3 linked regions of the Arabidopsis thaliana genome follow. The protein of the gene in region 2 purifies or fractionates together with the protein of the main gene of each other region. This does not show direct contact. Each region holds a gene or a part of one and is shown on either strand. Other genes may lie near its edges.

The links.
Region 1: the proteins of SERAT1;1 (region 2) and CYSD1 purify together in Arabidopsis thaliana (affinity purification with mass spectrometry, with the first as the bait; one study listed by BioGRID). This does not show direct contact.
Region 3: the proteins of SERAT1;1 (region 2) and OASB purify together in Arabidopsis thaliana (affinity purification with mass spectrometry, with the first as the bait; one study listed by BioGRID). This does not show direct contact.

Annotation. Positions count from the first base shown.
Region 1 is NC_003074.8:1,362,299-1,370,048, forward strand, and holds CYSD1 (cysteine synthase D1), read left to right. Parts: upstream 1-2,791; 5' UTR 2,792-2,984; intron 2,985-3,179; exon of another isoform or gene 3,180-3,357; 5' UTR 3,358-3,382; coding exon 3,383-3,424; intron 3,425-3,532; coding exon 3,533-3,642; intron 3,643-3,759; coding exon 3,760-3,817; intron 3,818-3,905; coding exon 3,906-4,169; intron 4,170-4,250; coding exon 4,251-4,388; intron 4,389-4,462; coding exon 4,463-4,514; intron 4,515-4,626; coding exon 4,627-4,706; intron 4,707-4,805; coding exon 4,806-4,865; intron 4,866-4,943; coding exon 4,944-5,024; intron 5,025-5,120; coding exon 5,121-5,210; 3' UTR 5,211-5,546; downstream 5,547-7,750. Other genes in the region: AT3G04930 (DNA-binding storekeeper protein-related transcriptional regulator), read left to right, coding at 731-2,101; LCR41 (low-molecular-weight cysteine-rich 41), read right to left, coding at 5,950-6,137, 6,323-6,380; LCR18 (low-molecular-weight cysteine-rich 18), read right to left, coding at 6,816-6,985, 7,174-7,234. UniProt on the Arabidopsis thaliana protein: Acts as a cysteine synthase. The cysteine synthesis reaction is more efficient than the cyanoalanine synthase activity.
Region 2 is NC_003076.8:22,959,910-22,966,211, forward strand, and holds SERAT1;1 (serine acetyltransferase 1;1), read right to left. Parts: upstream 2,805-6,302; 5' UTR 2,674-2,804; coding exon 2,230-2,673; intron 2,084-2,229; coding exon 1,589-2,083; 3' UTR 1,320-1,588; downstream 1-1,319. Other genes in the region: NDL1 (N-MYC downregulated-like 1), read left to right, coding at 80-135, 247-382, 479-697; AT5G56770 (transcription repressor-like protein), read right to left, coding at 3,085-3,324, 3,444-3,846, 3,959-4,080; ET2 (effector of transcription2), read right to left, coding at 4,475-5,464, 5,546-5,905, 6,231-6,302.
Region 3 is NC_003071.7:18,127,231-18,135,266, reverse strand, and holds OASB (O-acetylserine (thiol) lyase B), read left to right. Parts: upstream 1-2,628; 5' UTR 2,629-2,944; coding exon 2,945-3,187; intron 3,188-3,373; coding exon 3,374-3,483; intron 3,484-3,570; coding exon 3,571-3,628; intron 3,629-3,731; coding exon 3,732-3,995; intron 3,996-4,265; coding exon 4,266-4,403; intron 4,404-4,535; coding exon 4,536-4,587; intron 4,588-4,672; coding exon 4,673-4,752; intron 4,753-4,859; coding exon 4,860-4,919; intron 4,920-5,047; coding exon 5,048-5,128; intron 5,129-5,425; exon of another isoform or gene 5,426-5,570; coding exon 5,571-5,663; 3' UTR 5,664-5,832; downstream 5,833-8,036. Other genes in the region: AT2G43770 (Transducin/WD40 repeat-like superfamily protein), read left to right, coding at 1-995; AT2G43760 (molybdopterin biosynthesis MoaE family protein), read right to left, coding at 1,395-1,991; AT2G43745 (jacalin lectin-like protein), read left to right, coding at 5,912-6,289, 6,376-6,408; AT2G43740 (Mannose-binding lectin superfamily protein), read left to right, coding at 7,383-7,637, 7,765-8,036. UniProt on the Arabidopsis thaliana protein: Acts as a major cysteine synthase.

The DNA.
Region 1 (7,750 bases), on a different chromosome or scaffold from region 2:
CCCATGCGCAGCAGATATAAGCATTTTCTTGTTCCTTAGGTGATTTAATTCTTGATCGGTTACTCGTGCGGCTGTGTTTGATTGTAAACGTGAGTCTCTCTGGCTATTATCGATGTTATTTACCCACATATAATGAAAATTTACTTAGATCATAATTATGAAATCTCGCAAAGTTTCTAATTTATTATATCACTTTTGCTCCTTACTATTTTAATGGAAAAACTGTGATAATTACATGTCAATCACTGAATTTGAACAGTAATTATAATTTTCTATACCGCACAACATATGCTTATTTTGGTTTTGGGTACTGTCTTATTAGTTACATACGGTTTAGGTTGGCTTGTTTGTTTGTTTTGTCCTAGCTAATCACGTTAATGAAAACGCTCTACCAAATAACCGCGTTTAGAAAACGCTATTAGTTACCGAGTGTGGTTGGGACCGAGTGAGGACGTCACGGCTCCAACCAATCCGCAAATAAGGAAGCGCGTGTGTGTAAGTAGTGGGTGACCACTTTGCCTAGTCTTAAACGTTAAGTCTGGAAATACCAAAACTACCCCTGGTTTGGTCGAAGATTCTCACGCCCCTACCACCCAACCCAATCACAATCCTCGTGAACGAACACACCACCTTCTCTCCAATCTGGATCTGGTTCCTCTTCTTCTTGGTCTCTTCTCCATCTCATCGGAGCTGATCTCGAATTGTTCTCCGTTCATTTGTTACGGTGGAGATGACATCGGATCACCGCGACGCTCTTTTCTCTCTGGAACTGGAATCGCCTGATCCGGACGAAGGAGGTGTAGCAGACGGAGGAGAATCTGATACCGACGAGGATTTGCGCGACAACGATGATGTTGTTATGCCGGGAACGAACGAAGCTGAAGCTGAAGACGACGATCCCGAAGAGGAAGATCTCAATTCTCCGTCTACATCATCACTCCCCATGGTTTCTACGATCTCAGCGACTGCTGTTGTTTCCGGGACCCCGACGGCGACTTCCTCTACAGGCGCCGTGACCGTTGCACTTCCGGCTGGATCCGCCGTCCCTGTCTCCGTGATTCCCGTTGATTCCGATCCGAAGTGGCACCGTATGACGGAGATCGTCCATCAGAGACCACCGATCGATGATTCTAGACGCCTTTTCCAGAGGCTGTGGACAGACGAAGACGAGATCGAGCTTCTTCGTGGTTTTCTCGATTACATGACGATGCACCGCGGAAGCAGCTCGCATCCGCCGGATACGGCGCCGTTTTATGAGCAGATAAAGTCGAAACTTCAGCTGGATTTCAACAAGAACCAGCTGGTGGAGAAGCTTCGGAGATTGAAGAAGAAGTACAGGAATGTGATGAGCAAGATCAGCTCTGGTAAAGAGGTATTCTTCAAGAGCCCTCATGATCAGTCTACTTTCGAGATTTCTAGAAAAATCTGGAACCAAACTGGGAAAATCATAGGCTTTGAAGATAACAACGTAATGGATTTCGAAGAAACCAATAACCATCATAACACCACCAATGGTAACTACTCAACCTTTAACAGCCCTAGTTCTAATCCTACTCTGGAGCTCGACTCCGAAAATGGAATCGAGAAGAAATTGACAATGAGTAGCAGTAGCGTGTCGAGAAAACGATCACGATCAAGAATTGGGAAGATTGAGGAAGACAACAAACCTGTCATCACTCCCTCTGATGGGCCAATAGCTAGCAATGTCAACCTCAACGAAGCTGCAGCTGTTGGTATTGGAGGAAATCTCGGGGGTTTGATCGAAGAGACTGTGAAAAACTGTGTCTCTCCTGTGATCAAAGAGATGATGAATGGGACAACAAGTATGATGATGGCTGCAATGGGAGGAGGGTTTCCGGGTCTTGGTGGTGGTGGTGGTGGTGGTGGTGGTCATGGTTTTGGCTCGCTAAGCCCCATGTTTACACGGCCGTTCAATTTCGGTTTTGGTGTAGAGGGAGGAGGAAACAAGGCGGTTGCAGATGAGCGGTGGAGGAAACAACAGATTCTGGAATTGGAAGTGTATTCAAGGAGATTAGAGTTGGTTCAAGAGCAGATTAGAACGACATTGAACGAGTTAAAGACGATGCCGAGTGGTATATGATGAAGGGCGAGAAGAATAAGACAACAAGGAACCATTTAGGTTGATATTTGATATCTTTGAGTTAACCTTCTGGTGTGTGAGTGAGTATAGTAAGAGATTTGGATCTTTTTAAGTTATAAATTGGTAAGGTATTGTGATCTTTCTCTAGGTTTTTTCATCATTTTGATTTTTTTTTCTTCTTCTTATCTTTAAATTATTTGTCAATAGGGATGAATCATAGGAGGGGGGTTTGTGTATAACCTTTTGTATTAGATTATAGTTCTTTTTTCGTAGAATCATTTGTTCAATAACAAACAGACTTTCTAGCTGTTTTTCTTTCAAAAAGAAGAAAAATAATAATTCTAAATTGTGTGCTACTCTTTCTTTGTCTAATAAAATCTGTAATAACATGTTTATTTCTAGATCGGATACTGTTATTGAAGTGTATTAAACTTTGACCTCTTTCTTTATCATGTTGATTAATGTAGTTACTTAAAAACTTTTGTGTTTGAAAAAAAGAACCAATGTTGTGTTTCTTGCTAGTACGCATCAGAAGATTCCTTTCCTGATTAAGTAAAAAAAAAAAGGCATAATCAAAACAATTTAAAGATTCAAGAAGGCAGAAACTTGTCCACGTGACGAGGCAAAGAATGTTAGGTAGGTTTGTTATTGACTTTATAGTTTATACAATGATTTTAACAAAATACCTATGGAAGATACATGATTATTTTTTATAAATGTATAAACGAGTGGATATATTTGGTGGTGGATGATGGTGTGTGTGTATATGCAAATAATTCACTTTATAAAAGCTTATCGCTAATTTGACAGAACACTAGAACAGTTCTCTCTTTTTGTCGACAGTCTTCTTCTTCTTCTTCTTCTTCGATTGGATCTGGAACTGGTAAGCTCTTCTATAAGTCTCTGGTTTTGTATCTTTCGAACTGTTCTTTTGTTTCTCTCTCCAAAAATTTCAAACTTTCATAATTTCGCCTCCTCAAGTTCGATTTCAGCTCAAGAACACGAATGCTTCACTCACTTGTTTCATTGTTAAATCTTATATTTAGTTTGATACTCATGTTTTCTGCTGTTCGATTTTTTTTTTTCTCTGATTTATATTCGAGTTTGAACTTAAATCATGGTTTTGGTTTCACTTTACAATTTTGGATCTCATGCAGTTTCAAAACACTCTTCGATTTATATGAATGTTTTATATTATTAGGGACATTGCTTGCAGACTGTGTCTTAAATCTTTTTGATTTTCTTGTGATCTTCAGAACTCAAATTGGGAAGAATTTTGACATGGAGGAGGACCGGTGTTCGATCAAGGATGATGCAACTCAAGTAATCATAATCTTTCAGTTGTCTTTTTTAATCAACTGCTTCACTGGAATAAAGTTCTAGTTCCTTTGCTCAAGTAAAATGTACTTAGTTCCTTGCATACTGTGTCAGTTGATAGGTAACACCCCAATGGTATATCTGAACAACATTGTGGATGGTTGTGTAGCTCGTATTGCAGCTAAGCTTGAAATGATGGAGCCTTGCTCTAGTGTCAAGGAGCGGTATATATACAAATAACCCTCTCTCTATCTCTTTTGTCTGCTCCAAGCAATGTTTGTTCTTTTGTGTGTGTTTCTGAGAAATATCTTGTTTCTTTTGATTGATCCTTCGCTTGCTAGAATTGCTTATGGTATGATTAAAGATGCAGAAGACAAGGGATTGATTACTCCTGGGAAGGTAGATCAGATTATATCATACATTCGTGTTTTTTCGTTTTCGCCATTAAAAATCAAACTGATACTTGGATCCTGGTGGTTTTACTCAGAGCACACTGATTGAGGCTACCTCTGGTAACACCGGGATTGGTTTAGCCTTCATCGGTGCAGCTAAAGGTTACAAAGTGGTCCTCACAATGCCCTCATCAATGAGCCTTGAGAGAAAAATCATTCTTTTAGCATTAGGTGCGGAGGTTCACCTCACAGATCCTAGTAAAGGCGTTCAAGGAATAATCGACAAAGCTGAAGAGATATGTAGCAAAAATCCAGATAGTATCATGCTAGAACAGTTCAAAAATCCTTCAAACCCGCAAGTATGGACTCTCCTTTCACATTACATTTGCTCTTCTTCTCTCTCTATCTATATTTATCAATCTAAATTGATTATTCTGCAGACTCATTATCGAACCACGGGTCCAGAGATATGGAGAGACTCTGCAGGGGAAGTAGACATATTGGTTGCCGGTGTTGGAACTGGTGGAACGCTTTCCGGATCAGGAAGATTCCTCAAGGAGAAGAATAAAGACTTTAAGGTAGAGAAACTTTTATTGAAGTCCAACCATAGTAGTTATAGATTTGGCTTTTCAAGCACTTCTCTTATCAACAGGTTTATGGTGTGGAACCTACAGAAAGTGCGGTAATAAGTGGAGGCAAACCGGGTGAGTTCAAATCTTGTTCTTGAGTCTAACATAAGTAAACATCATTCGAGGAGTTTCTTGCTGCTAAATCACTTTCTTGATCACATAACGGATACTGGTTTCCTGTTTGTAGGTACACATTTGATCCAAGGTATTGGGGCTGGACTCATCCCAGACAATTTGGATTTCAACGTTCTTGATGAAGTCATCCAAGTAATGTAGCTGAGGTTTTATCGGTGTTGTCTTTGTAAACGCGATGAGATGTCAGAGAAATCGTACTGAGATGTTGGTAATCTCCAATTCTTTTTTCAGGTGACAAGTGTGGAAGCAATTGAAACAGCCAAACTTCTTGCCCTGAAAGAAGGATTACTGGTAGAATCACTGGTTTAATTGGTTTTAACATTTTTATGTTCGTTTAAGCCATAAAACCAACATTTCTATGTCTGGCAGGTGGGAATATCTTCTGGAGCTGCTGCAGCCGCTGCGATAAAGGTGGCAAAGCGGCCAGAAAACGCCGGCAAACTCATAGTTGTAAGTAAAAAAACAGAATCATAACGTGTAGCAGATAATTTGCCATTTCACTGAGGTTTTAAAGAAAATGAATCGGTTACTGTCTGTTTTGTTTAGGTGATTTTCCCTAGCGGTGGGGAACGTTACCTATCGACCTCATTGTTCGAATCAGTCAGACATGAAGCAGAGAATTTGCCAATTCAATGAGGCTTTTACACGACCTGACTTGGTTCGTTTTGGTGAAAAAGTACCAAGATTTCGGTTCGACATTTACACTGTCATAGTTTCATGAACTTTAAGATTTCAGATGATGTATGATCTCTAATCTCTAGCCTCTAAGGTGGACTGTCCTTTGACATTCTATTGGTGGTTTTTTTCTAGCTAATATATGTGTAAGTCTGTAAAACTTTTGTTGACAATGAATCTAGAACTATATAATGGCCATGTAGGATTTCAACCCATGTTACTAGTAGTAGACAATTTGGCTAGAGGATTGTGGAAGAGGAAAAAGATCAGAGGACAAGAGACTATAAACAAACACATCATAGGTTTCACCTTTGAGACAAGTCTACTTCCTGAGCAAACCCTCTCTTTGAAACCCAAGCTTCTCAACAACTCTTTGGGACACTTAGTTTTGAGTTTGAACAAAAGCCTGAAGCCTCAAAACATGAGGCAAGTCATTGAACACTTGTGATACTGCACCTTAACTAGACTTATAAGTTGCTTAGAAAAAACATTGCTTAGCAACCAAAGAATTTGTGATTCCATCTCTAATATTCCTTCTTCATCGTCTTAACTCCTATAATAAAATCTTATATGTATAAAAAATAGTAAATGATAAAAGAAAAAGAAGGGAAATGATTTAGTTAATTATGTCTTGATCATTAATAGATTCAATGGATTAAAGATAACAATAGTTTTGGTCTTTTGGAGATAGAGATCGAGCTTAACAATCAAACCCACACCAGCATGTAGGATAAAAGAACTCAGGATGTTGTTTTGAAGGAGGAGATGGGTAATAACATGTTCCATTGCCTTTGTAGTCAGCCATGCACTTCTCTTTGCATTTCTCGTCTCCTTCACAAATCCATGAATTACTACACTTTTTTGCTTCTCCTATCATGATCCCGTTTTCTATATAATAACACAAACACAAGTTTATCAATATAAAAGAAGTGGAACCATTTTGTTATCTTTTTTCTCAGTTCCGAGTTCCAACCAAGGACACAACAAAATATTAATTTTGTCATCCTACTAGATATGGTAGATAAAGTGATCAGAATTAGTATATCAAACAATGTTTAAAGAAAAAATGTTACCTGAAGAAGAAATAACGAAAACGACAATAAGTATGAAAAGAAGAGAAGAGTTTTTCATTATCTTTTGGATTTGTGAATGTTGAGAGTAGGCTTCAACTAAATTTGTTTCTTCTAAGATATTCGACTATATTTATAAGAAAATATTTAATTTTGTACTTTTTGAACCTTTATATTTATTATATTTGGATTTTATCGCTCTGTTTTTTTTCTTTATATATATAATTGTATATCTAATTTCTACTTTAGTTTAGCATTTAAAGCAAAAAAACTGAAAAAATTTAAAACCTTAGATTTTATTTTTAACATATTATCAGCATTAAAACGCTTTAGATTTCTATTTCTACTTTATATTGACAGTTAATTGCTTTTTTTTTTTTTTTTTGGATTTTGTCACTCTTTTATAGATATCATTTTTAAATTCTTGTATTCCGGAAAAGAGAGAGGATTAGTTTATTCTTTTAATCACACGGATTAAGGGTTGTAATTAGCTTAATTAGCAATCATAGTGGCAAAAACATTGCTTAGGAACCAAAGGAGCAGTGTACAAATCACAGACTCCAACTCCATTGTGCAAAGTCAGACACTTTTCTCTGCATTTGTCTTCTCCTTCACAAGTCCACGTCTGGTCGCATTTCTTTGCTTCTCCTACCATCTTCTTGTTTCCTTTATTCATCAAAACATAAATATTAAATATTTGTTTTACATATTTCATCTTCTTCTCAGTTTCTTTTTTTGGAGGGTCTAAATTTTACCAGTTTTAAGTTTTAACTTTTAACAAGAAAAATACAAAGATATGTCAGATATAAAATTAATATATCAGACAATTAAAACAAAATAAAATAGCAATTTACCTGAAGAAGAAATGAGAAAAACAACAATAATTAGTACGAAGAGAATGGAAGAGTTCTTCATTCTTTGTGGGTTTGGGAAGATTGAAACGAAGACTTCTAAGTTTCTGATGTTTACAATTTTCAGATATCATTATATATATAGGCAAATATTTTAACTCCGTTGAAGAAAAACAAAACGACATAATTTTTTTTTGTTTTGTTTTTCGTCTATTTGTTATTTATATAAGTAGATTCTCTATAAATAAATTATGACTAGATAAGCATGGACATTAATATTTTGTATAAATTAAATTGTATACTTTGTTATGTTTGCTATGCTTGTCAAAATTATTTGTTATATTTGTCAAACTTTAGTAAAATATATTCAAATATAATTAAATTTATTAAAACTTAATAAATTTAAAAGTTTTTTTTGTTTGGAGACGCACTATCTACATTCAAAATACCCGTTTCTATTTTTTGAATATTTTTAGGGCCTGAAACTTTTTATCCAAACTGGCCTAAACCCAACTGGACGCGACCTGAACCGAATATTTAGAATTATTCTATTAGGTAGTAAATCATATACCCATTAATC
Region 2 (6,302 bases):
TGTTGTTTTTCTGTTTCATCAATAGATTGATTTTACTGTATCAGTGATTCACACCTTGCACTTTTGGTGATTGTCTCAGCTGCTTGATGAAAGACAAGGCATAAACGTTTTGCGATTTCTTGACGCCATTGACCGGTAACACAACAAACACCTCGAAATCCTTTACCTTAGAAGCATTCATTCATTCATGGTGTCAAATATTGACTTTTCTTTAACTTTATGCAAACCAAACCTTTGCTCTTGCAGGAGACCTGACATCTCAAGTGGATTGAAGAAACTAAAATGCAGGACACTTATCTTCATCGGAGATCAATCTCCTTTCTACTCAGAAGCTGTTCACATGGCAGCAACTTTGGATAGAGGATACTGTGCTTTGGTTGAGGTTTGAGAAAACGAATCCTCATCCTTTGTACTTTACATATAAACACATGTTTGGTTTTCTTGCTACTAATAGATGTTTTCTTGGAAATATTATCAGGTTCAGGCTTGTGGTTCAATGGTAACAGAGGAGCAACCACATGCAATGTTGATCCCAATGGAATATTTCTTGATGGGTTACGGATTATACAGACCATCTCTTTTCTCCGAGAGCCCTAGAAGTCCACTTAGCCCTTCTTGTATTTCACCTGAGCTTCTCTCTCCTGAAAGCATGGGATTAAAGCTTAAGCCTATCAAAACCAGAATTTCGGCGGCTTAAGTGTGTGTGCACTACTGATTCATTGGTTCTAATTTTGCTGAGGAGAAGAAATCTTAGGGCTTTTGTAGATATAGAACAATACTAGGGAGATTTGAGAAGAAGAAGACGAAGAAGAAAAATTCAAGCCACCATCATATAACACATTCTTTTGTAGTCAGCCGACACGACAGTTCTCTTGTTAAGATGCCACAAAATGTTGTTTATTATTTCATTTTTTTATACATATGTAAAATGTTCTGTTCTTGTGACATTGTAACAATTGTTTTGTGACGAACTCTGCAGAAGCAAGTAATAAAATTCATTTTGCATTTTGTTTTTGGTTCTCTAATTGGCCTTACAAGCACATTGATTTCACCAAGTTAGAATCTGGTTTTTGCTTAATATTGATATTTAATGGTTTAACAGTCTTGATCCTGAACTATTTGGATCATCAGATTGAAACTTTTTAGTCTGAATTGAATTGTAAATGGAAATGGAGACCAATCCTTCTTTGCAGAAGCCGTAAGTTATATACTGATATAAGATACGCATAAGGATTAGTTGCGGTTGACGAAAACATAGTCCCTCATGAACCGGGGTAAAGGCGAAGAATGCTTCACTTAGTCTGAACAAGTTCAATGCTCCTCGATGTTTGTCAAGCCCGTAAAATGGATGCAGACAAGTGTAAATCCGAGCCAAACCCGAATACAAAGTAGAAGAAGTGTATAAACTCTTGGATAACTAATGATTGAATAATAACATCAAATTAAGGCCATTTCTTGTATTGAACATCGTAAGATGTTTTGTAAATTACAAATACAACAAAGCTCACTTACCTCAGCACCTCTCTATAAGCGAATGGTCAGAAAGTTTTTCACTTTCAAAACCACAGAAACAATTATAACAACAACTTTATATGATGTAATCTGACCATTCCGAGATGAATGAAGTATGATCCATCGATTCTCCAGGACATTCCTCATCATGAATCGTTGGCTTCTCTTTCCCTCCGACAAGTCTCGCCGGATTCCCAACCGCAGTACCTCGACAAGGCACGTCAATCAGCACAACAGAACCAGCTCCTACTTTAGCACCTGCACCAATCTTCACATTTCCAAGAATAGTCGCTCCAGCTCCAATCAAACAACCGTCACCGATCTTCGGATGTCTATCTCCACAAGCTTTACCTGTTCCACCTAGTGTCACATGGTGAAGGATTGAAACATTGTTCCCAATCACCGCTGTTTCTCCGACTACAACTCCGGTTGCGTGGTCTAGAAGTATCCCTTTTCCGATCTTCGCTGCTGGATGGATATCAACAGCGAATACATCGGAGATTCTTGAGTGTAGAGCTAATGCTAATGGCTTCCGTGATTGTGTCCATAGCTTGTGTGATACACGATGCGCCTAATTCAAATTCAACAAAGCCAAATCATGATCCGAAATTCGCATAACTGAAGAATCAACCTAACCTAACCTAAAACAATATTCATAAATCAAATCGCAAGATATAGAAATTGTGGATTCATCAGATCAAATGATGAAGATTTCACCTGAATAGCTAAGAAGCCTTTGTAATTGAGGAGACAATGAGAGAACGAGATACAAGCAGGATCACGAACACGAGCAGCGCGTAGATCTGCGACGGTGGCGTTACGAAGAGAAGGATCGGAGGAAAAAGTGTTTAAGAACAGATCGTATAAAAGTGTGGATAAAAGCGTTGAGGAACAAAGCTTGTTTCCTAGATGAAACGAGATAGATCGTTCAAGAGACGAATGAGAAAGAATCGTCGAATATAGATAGCTAGCTAAAGCTGGCTCCGCCTCAGCATCACGGCGAGCTTCCGCCTTGATCTGTGTCCATAATCCGGCAGCTTCCGCATCTGCAGCTGCCGCAGATATCGCTGCTGACGCTGCTTCTGCTTCATCGGATTGGGTAACGGAAGATAGTTTCTCCTTTGATGGAGATTGATGTCGGAGTTCTCCGGCCGGTGGCATATTAACGCGGCGATAAGATTCGATTTCTATCTCCTCCTACCTATAAAAGTTAATTTTCGAGACGCTCTTTAATCGTGCGGAAATTTTTAAATCCATAGATTAAAGACAATGATAGTCCACCTGGTGCGTGATTAACGTGATTTTTAGAAAATAAAATCGGAGCCGTCAGTTTTATGCTTTATCAATAACCGTTAGATTAGATTTATCTTTCCGTTAATCGACGGTGGTGATTCTGCCGACATTCTTACCAAACTTTTTCCGTAACAAATTTTTGATCAAAAAAAAAAAGAAACTATACAAATTAACTACTAACACTACAAATTTGAAACGTGAATAAGTGGGTTACAATCCAATTAATTTAGGAGAAACAAAAGCCATATCTTTGACCTAGTCGATGTAGGTTTACTCCGGTTAACCAAATGGTCTCATCACTTTGAGTGTTGAAGTGAGGAAAGTATAATTACTCTTCTCTACTTTGATGGTAACAACTTGGTCTCGAATAGAAGGAACTAGCACTTGTGACTTTCTCTTGCTCATAAACTCGGGGTCACCGAGCTTCTGTAACTCAAGATGGCGTCGTTCCCCATTACTGCATGTGTTCCATGCATAATCAAAAGTGCTCAAAAGCATCCCTTCTGTTGCAGCAGCTTCCTACTTAATTAGATCCCATCTGATAAATCACGGTAAAGCAGAGAAACAATCACATGAGTTAGGATCAAAGGTGTATACGTAGCAGACCAACTAGAGAAGATAAGAAGACATGTATTTACTGGTGCCCATCTATAAAAAACTGAGTATCCTTCCGAGAATATGTCCTCATATAAACCCGAGGGCAAATGACCACCGCGTCTTCCATAATCCTGGAGTCTTGATTTTACGTCTACACATTGTCCGACATATACACCAAGAACATTATTATCAGGATCAAAGTTTTGGCCTTGGTCTTGACCGATGACGCCTACACCGAGCTCATACAGACCCGTACAACGTTGAGGGGGTAAGTCCTCATGTCTGTATCTACGGACCCTTTCTTTTCTATTATTGAAATCTTTCCAATCATTGTGTCTTATAAGATTCCGCCATTTGGAGAATGCGATGTCGTGTATAGTCAGCTTGTAGTCTTCTCTCTTGAACATAGTGGGGACGGCGGAACTGAATTCCTTTCCGATCAATCTGGTGATACATTATGACCATTAATTTAAAGCCTGAAGGACCAATAATAGTAAGAAAAAAAACAGAGGATAAAAATGCAACAACATTGTGAATAGATGAGATGATAAGAGACCTATTGTTCAAGAGCTGACTTATCCCCGGCATAATGGTTGTGCTTTTTTGCGTGCTAATGATTGTGTGTCGTATATGGTTAAACTTCAACTTCGCCATCTTCGATAATAGAACAAACGACATTGTCAAACAAAATAAAACAGAACAAAACGGTTCTGCTACAGAAAAATAATGAAAGAAGGCAGCTCTGATATATTACGATCGTAGATATATGGAAGAAGCGAAGGGAAGTTGAAAAAGAAATGGGTCGTTTACAGTTTTTCGCATCATGGACAAGTAACAAAGTGGAGGCATGGCGGGAAACGGGTCTATGTATTTTTAAATCTAAAAACATCTAATGTAATGCAAAGATGCAAGTCAACGATGTTAATCAAAACTGATTTTAAATTTATAAAAAATGAGATTGTGAGTCATCCAGTACAGATGATTGTTCAGCAAACCAATACCGAAACCAAAACGGTTTTGGTACAAACAATTCTGGTTAGGTAACAAATAACATAAACAAGTGATGCAGAGGTTAGGTGATTCTCATTCCCTTATGCTCTTCACATCTCTTACGTCCTTTTACCGGAGATCTCTCACAGATCAATCCATTGCCTAATTTAACTCCACAAGCTACGTTTTTTGCTGCCTCTGGCTGAAAATATACCGGCGAAGTATCGCTGGAAGTTTTCTCCTTATGTTGCCAACACCTTTTGCTTCCTTTAGGAGAACTTCTTGTGCAAGGTAACCCATTCTTTGTTGTAGCTTCACAGAAGCGAGTCAAAGCTTCTTCTTCGATTGACTCGGTATGCGATTCGGGATCAGGTTTCTCGTCTTTGACGGTTTTCTCACGGTCAGTTTGGTTAAGAAGAAAAAGAAAAGCATTGATCCTCATGCCTTTATGATCCTCACATCGTTTTCTTCCAGGAACAGGTCTCTTATTGCAAGGTTCCATGTCAGGTAAGATCACTCCACACACAACATCAGAGTCTTTATGATTGTGATGATCTTGTCCAGTGAAAATCTCGGACTTTGGCGGTGTCTGTTTTTCGGGTGAAACACGGCAAACTCTCTGTCCTTTATGCTCTATGCATCTCTTTCTCCCTTTGACTGGACTTCTAATGCAACAGCCACCATCTTCAAGTAAGACTCCACAAACAATATCAGAACAAGAACCATCAACCTCATCAAATCTGTCTGAAACCGGTTGAGGTCTAGACCGGGTGAGTTTGAGTATTGAAGTGAGGAAATTATTACTCTTCTCTTCATCAACATCACAGGTTAGCTTCCTCTCTTCTTTAAGCACATGCTTCTCTCCTTTTATTCTGATACCAACTTGGTTCCGAAGAAAAGGAAACAGCATTCGAGATATACCGGACTTTCTCTTGCTCATAAACTCGCGATCACCGAGCTTCTTAAGCAAATCAAGCTGCCTTCGCTCCCCGTTACTTCCTTTGTTCCAAGCATAGTCAAATGTGCTCAAGAGCATCCCTTCTGTTGCCTCAGCTTCTCTCTTAGATCCCATCTGATACAATCACATGAGTTAGATCAAAGTTGTATACTTAGCAAACCAATATAGAAGAAAAGAAGAAATGTATTTACTAACCGGAGCCCATCTGTATAAAATCGAGCCTCCTTTCGAAAATATGTCTTCAAATAAACCTCCAGTAACAGCCTTAACTGGAGATTCAATAGTTTCACAGTCGTTAAGGTTGTTAACATTGCGCAAATGAGCACCGGATCTTCCATAACGCTGAAGTCTAGACCTAACACTTTCAGCTTGTCCTAGATATGAAGCAAGAACAATATCTGGTTCAAGCTTTCGACATTGTTCTTGACCGATGACCGCTACACCGAGCTCATACAGACCCGGACAAGATTTACGAGGTAAGTTCTGGACTCTGTATCTACCTACACCATCTTTTCCGTTTTTGAAATCTTCCCAATCGTTGGATCCTATAAGTACCTGTGCAGCATCAAACTTTACACAATCAGATAAAACTAAGATCTAAAACCAACCACTTCAAGTAGCAAATGAAACAGAATTAGGCTAATTAGATATACATATAGTTAGCGACCAATTCTAACAGAAATCCAGAGAAAATGCATTTGGGACAAAGCAGACACACTAGGCATTCAAAATGGGATCTTTACACTGAAATCCTGGAAATGGAAGATCAGATTTTTCGATTCAACTGAAAATCTGAGAATTCCGAAATGGGTTTCAGAGAAAACACAAGATCGAGCGAAAATTCTCAATCTACAAATCGAGAAAGAGAAAGACAGAGGACCTGCCACTTGGAGAAGACGGTGTCGTGTTTAGTTCGTTTGTAGTCTTCTCTTTTGAAGACAGTGGGGACGAC
Region 3 (8,036 bases), on a different chromosome or scaffold from region 2:
CAGGTCCTAGGCCGATGGAATGGTCTACCGTCCCACACAGTGCTTCTCAAGGACCTGGTCCCAATGGCAAGAACCGGACCTCGAGCTTGGAAGCACCTATCATGTTGCTAAGTGGACATCCGAGTGCTGTCTATACCATGAAGTTCAATCCTGCTGGAACTCTGATTGCATCTGGATCCCATGACAGAGAAATCTTCCTCTGGAGAGTTCACGGGGACTGCAAAAACTTCATGGTTTTGAAAGGTCACAAGAACGCCATCCTTGATCTTCATTGGACCAGTGATGGCTCCCAGATTGTATCAGCTAGTCCGGATAAAACTGTAAGGGCTTGGGATGTTGAGACTGGGAAACAAATCAAGAAGATGGCTGAACATTCATCGTTTGTGAATTCTTGCTGTCCTACACGTAGAGGGCCACCTCTTATCATCAGTGGATCTGATGATGGAACTGCCAAGCTTTGGGACATGCGTCAAAGAGGAGCCATACAAACATTTCCTGATAAATACCAAATCACTGCAGTCAGTTTCTCAGATGCAGCTGATAAGATTTTCACTGGTGGTGTAGACAATGATGTTAAGGTTTGGGACTTGAGAAAAGGTGAAGCCACCATGACACTTGAGGGCCATCAAGATACAATCACAGGTATGAGCTTAAGCCCAGACGGTTCCTACCTTCTCACTAATGGAATGGACAACAAGCTCTGTGTGTGGGACATGCGTCCTTATGCTCCACAAAACCGATGTGTAAAGATCTTTGAGGGGCATCAACACAACTTTGAGAAGAACCTGCTGAAATGTTCATGGTCACCTGATGGTACAAAAGTTACTGCCGGTAGCTCAGACCGTATGGTTCATATCTGGGACACAACCAGTCGGCGCACTATATATAAGCTCCCAGGCCATACCGGTTCTGTCAATGAGTGTGTTTTCCACCCAACCGAGCCTATCATTGGATCTTGCAGTAGTGATAAAAATATCTACTTGGGAGAGATCTGAATTTCAAAGCTGTGAAACCTTTGCAACTCTAAGTGGAATTGAAGTCTTTAGAATCGACGATGTGCTTTGAGACATTTTGTTTATTGAAAGAAAAAACGAAACATTGCTCTTTGGTACAAGTAATCAAGATTTGTTATCTCCTGTAATATCTTCATTACGCTCTTTATCTTCTTCTACTTTAACAGATGAGGTCATCATTTTAGTTCTCCTTAAAATTGTTATCTTTGGTATTACAATCTTGCAGTATCTTCGATTAGATTCTTACAGATTCAAGCAGTAGCAAGTATAAGCCCAGTCCAGTAACCAACTAACGCATATAAGTCTTTAGATTCAACAATGTGCTTAAGAAAGTTTGTCTATTGAAAGTAAAAAGCGAAACAGTGTTACTGCTACAAGTGATCAAGAAGAAGATTTGTTATCTCCTGTAATATCTTTATGCTCTTCATCTTCTTCTACTCTAACTTTGCTTCCACAGCAACCTCTTCTTCTATGTTCTTCAACCACAGTTTTTTTTACAATGCTGTCTCTTTTCTCTGCAAGCTCCAATCTTTTCTCCATAAACTCAGAATTCTCCTTCCAAATCTCTCCATTAGTGTAAACCTCTTTCTTCCATATCGGAACCGATGCCTTCAACTCGTCGATCAAGAACTTGCAAGCATCTAAACCATCTGCACGGTGAACAGATGAGACCGCAATGAGCACGCTAGTTTCTCCAACAGGAACTGGTCCAAGACGGTGAGCAACAGCAATCTTGTGGATATCCCAAGTTGATCTAGCAGTTGTACAGATCGAGCTGAGGCATCGTGTGGCCATTGGCACATATGCTTCATACCTTAACTCCAACACTGTCTTGCCCTCGAACATGTCTCTTGTAGTGCCTGAGAATGTCGCAATAGCACCAGCTTGAGGGGCACTGACATAATCAATGTACTTAACAACATCGACTTTGTGACCTTCCTCCAAGATCTCTATAAGGTTCTTCTCCTCTGCAGACATCTTTGATCCAATAGTAAACCTCGATACAATCGATGTTCTAGGAAGAGTAAACCAAGCTTAGCAGATGATCCGATAGCAAATTCTAACCTGCAATTGGAGGAAATAAACAACCATGACTATCTCATCACCTATCATCCAAAACTAATCAAACAGACAATTTGTTTAGTCAAAGGCAAACAGAGCAAATGAGGAACCTTTCTTGCGCAATCTAATGGCAATCACATCTTACTAATCCAGAAATGGAAGAGTCAAATCAACAAAGTAGGAGAATAGTGGACCAATGAACAAACTCAAAAAACGATGTCTCAAATCGGATTAAGAATTTGCCAAATCGGTCAATTTTTATTGAATCAGACAAAAACAGCAAAGGCACAAAACTCGTCTACAAAACTGACCAAAGTTCGAGTTTTTGTAAGATTGAGGATCGAATGGATAGAATCATAGAAAGACAGAGATAACGACAAAGAAGAATCGTCTCTTTCAGTACCTTACTACACTAAAAGTTTGTAATAACTTTAACAGCTACCCAGAAATTAAAAGAAGGCAAAGAACAAAAAGAGATCCAGAAAGATTTTATCTGACCTTTGAGAGTTTGGTAGGGCTGCATGATGAAGAAGAACATGTGCTCTATATTCACCTTCTTGTTGGATCAGACTAGTAGGTTGGTGAGATTGTAAAAAACAAAACTTTACTAATTCAATTTCAAAGTCTCTTCTTTTCTCCAGATACTCTGTTTTACCATTCAAGGAAAAAGGATAAATCTTGTAGAAAGAAGATGCCAAAATGATTTTTTTATTTAGAAATTAAACAGCGACGTCGTTTTGCAGCTACAGTGCGATCATCTAATCAGTCAGTGTCTTCAAGTTTAAACCGCATCTCTAGTCTCTCTCTACTTCTCTCTGTGTACAATATTCGGAAAGTGAGGAAGATACACTGAAGCAAAAGAGCAAGTCATGGCGGCGACATCTTCCTCTGCTTTTCTCCTTAATCCGTTGACTTCTCGCCACCGTCCTTTCAAATACTCGCCAGAGCTCTCTTCTCTCTCCTTATCCTCTCGAAAGGCTGCTGCTTTCGATGTTTCCTCAGCTGCTTTCACGCTCAAGAGACAGAGCCGGAGTGATGTTGTGTGCAAGGCTGTATCTATCAAGCCAGAAGCTGGTGTTGAAGGGCTCAATATCGCCGATAACGCCGCTCAGGTTAGATTGTGTTTCGTTTGCATTTGGATAGAGACAGAGGAAATCTAAATTGGTGATCAATTTTGTCAATTTAGGGGAAGATATAAACTAACTGAGTATTATTAGTCTTGTAAATTTGACTTCTTTGAATTTTGATTTCGTTTCTAATTTTTTTATATTCTTTCTGAATGTTATGAATTGATTCAGCTTATTGGGAAAACTCCGATGGTGTACTTGAACAATGTAGTCAAGGGCTGTGTTGCAAGTGTTGCTGCTAAGCTTGAGATCATGGAACCATGTTGCAGTGTCAAGGATAGGTTTGTGTATCCAAATATAATTTGATTTTGGTTTTGCTATCTTTCACATTTATACATTCTGAGCTTGTGTTGTTGTGGTGATTTCAGGATTGGGTACAGTATGATTACTGATGCTGAAGAGAAAGGACTTATAACACCTGGAAAGGTATTTGATTATGGATTTGACCTTTTATTGTTGTTGAATGATTCTGTATTGAGTGTCAACTGTCAAGCCCTCTGATTTTGTTTTCTTGCTGCAAATGTTTTAGAGTGTTCTTGTGGAATCTACGAGTGGGAACACAGGGATTGGCCTTGCATTCATTGCTGCTTCAAAAGGCTATAAACTTATCTTGACGATGCCTGCGTCCATGAGTTTGGAAAGGCGGGTTCTTTTGAGGGCATTTGGAGCTGAGCTTGTGTTAACTGAACCTGCAAAAGGTATGACTGGAGCAATTCAGAAGGCTGAAGAAATCTTGAAAAAAACTCCCAATTCCTACATGCTCCAACAGTTTGACAACCCTGCCAATCCCAAGGTCTGTAATTACTTCTTGTTTCATCATACTCTCTAACTGTGACATGAATTATGAGCTACGATTACTTCTGGCCTTGTACAGTAGTAAGAGGTGGTGTGTGAAAGGGTTCATTAGAGATGATAGTGAAATTCTTCCGCACTTCCTTTTGGATTGTTGTAGAGTTTCTATGGTATACAGTTTTGAATCATCACGATTATATCTGGGATTCACTGGTTCCATTGGTAAAAGCTGCAAGTATTTGTTAGTGTTTTGATATAAGATTAAATGCAGATTCATTATGAGACGACTGGTCCTGAGATTTGGGAAGATACAAGAGGCAAAATCGATATATTGGTTGCGGGGATTGGAACTGGTGGAACTATCACTGGTGTTGGTCGATTCATTAAAGAAAGAAAACCTGAATTGAAGGTACATAGCAAGAGGGCTTGTAGCATATCAGCTGGAATCAACTGTAGATGTTATAACCTCCGTAATTAGATTTAGTTGATGTTTACTTGTACTTGTAGTTATATTTAATTAGTTGATGTTTACTTGTACCAGGTTATTGGTGTCGAACCCACGGAAAGTGCTATACTTTCTGGTGGAAAACCCGGTAAGGCAGTGATTTTGTTTTTCTTGTTTCTCTGGCACGTTATTCTTTTTATCTTGCGTTTATTTGACATGTATTTGAAATGCAGGACCTCACAAGATTCAAGGAATTGGAGCTGGATTTGTACCCAAGAATTTGGATCTGGCTATTGTAGATGAATACATAGCGGTATGATCTGTTGGTTTGGTTCTCTATAACTATACATTCATCTTTTTCACTTTCAGCAAGCAACAATTTTCCTTTTTAACTTCACCTGTTTTGTTGCTTCTTATCAGATTTCCAGTGAGGAAGCTATTGAAACCTCGAAGCAACTAGCTCTCCAGGAAGGCTTGTTGGTTAGTCTATATTTGTTATTCTGTTTGACTTATTTGTTAGTGGGAACACTCTTTATAAAAGATAGAAAACGAATGTAAATGCATATGAGAAATCTATGACGATTAGTAAACGACTATAACCTTTTCAGGTTGGTATATCTTCTGGAGCTGCTGCTGCTGCTGCAATCCAGGTTGCAAAGAGACCTGAAAATGCCGGGAAACTCATAGCCGTAAGTCCTCAATGTTCTTCATCATAATTTCTTTATGGACCAAAACCTAGTCTTGTATCTGTGACCAACCACTGAATGATATAGAAAAAGAGTTCTTAAGTTATCTAATCATGAACCTTGGTCCTTTTAGAGTCTTACTACTTATTTTAACATTTGTATTTGAGTAGTTGGTTTGGTTTATACGTCTAATGAACGTTTACGTTGCCTTAATCTCTCTGCCACACCAAACCCTAGTCATTGCAAAGAACAAGAGAGGAGCTTAATCTCTCTGCCACACCAAACCCTAGTCATTGCAAAGAACAAGAGAGGAGCTTATTATTCAATTACTATAGCCCAACGTAGGGAATCAGTGAAAGGATTTTAGCTTAGTATGGAGTAAAAAATATAACAGATTCATCATATGTATAGTTTGATATGTGAGTTGCTGAATCTTGGTTTTCAGGTTGTGTTCCCGAGCTTCGGGGAACGTTACCTCTCGACCCAGCTTTTCCAGTCGATTCGAGAAGAGTGCGAGCAAATGCAGCCCGAGCTTTGATTTTCTTCTGTAATTTCGTGACCAACAAGGAACCTCTTCTTTGATTTATTGCTGATTGTTTTTCTTCTAATAGACGTTTCTGCAGAAATCTCTACGTCTACTGTGTATATTTACAATTCGCAACGCAATTTGGTGTTTGTTATTAATAAAGGCATAAGAGGTTTTGGTCAAACGAAGAGTCTTCTTCTTGAGCACAATTTTCGAGCGTTTTGTTTAATGTACCTGGAAACTTGTTTAGCTTTCTCCCAATGGAATCCATAAATGAAAGTTATGACGACTCTTCGAGTTTTGGACAAGACAGTCTCCTATATAATCGTCCTTTCGCCTATCTATATCTCTCCTTCCACTTAAAACTATTGTACTCTGTGCCTGCTTCTTATATAGCGATGATAAGAGCAGGATCAGTGGGAAAAAAATCGACATGTGAGTATACTTATTGGGACGACGGTGTTGGAGAAGAGGTGATGGGTGACGATAGTTGGGATTACGAGGGACGCAAGATCTCTCACATATATGTTGCTTTCGACGAAGTCATAATGTCTATTCAGTTTGGTTTTTTGGAGAATGGAGCTCTAGTCCTGTCTAAACAGCATGGTGGCATTGAGGAGGGCTCCAACTTTCGTGTTGTAAGTTTTGTGTCAATAACAATTATTTATTTTTGCGTTTGCGTAAGATCCGGTCAAGTTTTGTTTTTGATGAAGTTTAAACGCAGTTGAGACTGAATCAAGACGAATATGTAACTTGATTAAGTGGAGTACTAAGAAAGCATGGTGGAGGGATCAGAAATTTGACATTTCGCACTAACGTCGGGGAGTATATGATTGGACGTTCAAGCGACAATTATCCAAATCATTGGAAGATAGATATTGATCCGGCAATATGTGATGAACGTGAGTTTGGTGGTTTCTTTGGGTCTAACAATTTATACCATCTGACATCGATTGGTATGTATTTGAGACCCATTACAAGTCTCGACATGGTTGTTAAACGCGAAAACAGTTGACCAAGAAAGCCTTGTAGCCTAGTTCAAGTTGCCTGTTGAGTTTTATCTTAAATAAAGTAGCATTTTTGGATCAATCATCTTTCTATTTCTCAACTCTCAAGTAATAATAAAAAATGGTCCCATTTCTTCCTTTATTATTTGTTTTTGTAAATTTGTGCTCCATTTTCTTGTGATGAAAAACGAAATGTTTAAATGACAAAATTCGAAGTCACGAATCATTTCATGTATAGTATACCCAAAGATGATGCATCATTTGTTACTAATAACGTATTATGACTTTTTGGCTCACGAATTCTATAGACGGAAGGAACCAGCATCTTAATTAAATATTTGGAAAAATCTTTAGACGCATCTAATGTTCTTAAATCTATGGAAAATCGGCATCTTAACTGTTAGCAAAGAAAAAAAAAGGCTTTAACTATTACTAGTATCCTTAGATGAATATAGCTTTAAATAGGTAAACTATAGCTATAAAGTAAATAACAAATAAGCAAGGAGATTAAATATTTATAGTTACTTTTTTGTTCTTCGAATTTAGTAAATTTACTGTTTTCAAGTTGCTTTACATTTTGATTAAGGAAGTTTTCTTAGAGAGATTAGGTATGTAAAGCTTTTCTTCGTCTATATATAAGTATAGATCGTCCTCAGAAGAACAAATTGTTTTATTAAGAAAATATTTTAATCCGAGCTTAATTCTTTCGTCTGCTATATTCTAAATGAAATCCCGTGGTAGGGAGATGTTCAAAGTCGGACCAATTGGGTCACAACGTGCTTATCTTAAGAATTTGGAATGGGAAGAGAAGGGACGCAACATGATCTCTAGTATATATGTCGCTTTCGACAAAGATACCATAAATTCTATTCAGTTTAGCTATTGTCAGAACGGAGGTCATGTCGTGTCTAAAAAGTATGGTATGTCTGATGCCCAAAAACAAAAGTATGGTTCGTACAACGGTCGATTCCACGTAATGGTAAGTTTTGTTATAATACATCTTCATGTTTTTTCTTCCTTCTGATAGTTATAATATCTGGTAATTTTTCTTAGTGGAATCTTTACATTTTGTTTATGTAATTAACATTGTTGTTCATCATGTATAGTTTGTTTTTGCTCTTGTTACTGATGACCACGTTAAAACAAATTTATGCAATATACAGGTGAGACTAAATGACGATGAGTTTGTGACCGGGTTGAGTGCAATATATCTTTGTAAAGGGATCACGAATTTGAATATTCACACTAATCAGGGGAAACACGGCCCGATTTGTGATAGATATTCATCATCAAAGAATATTATGGATAACTATAAGGTGGAAATTGATGTGAAGATACGTGATCGTCGTGAGTTTGGTGGTTTCTTTGGGTCTTTTGA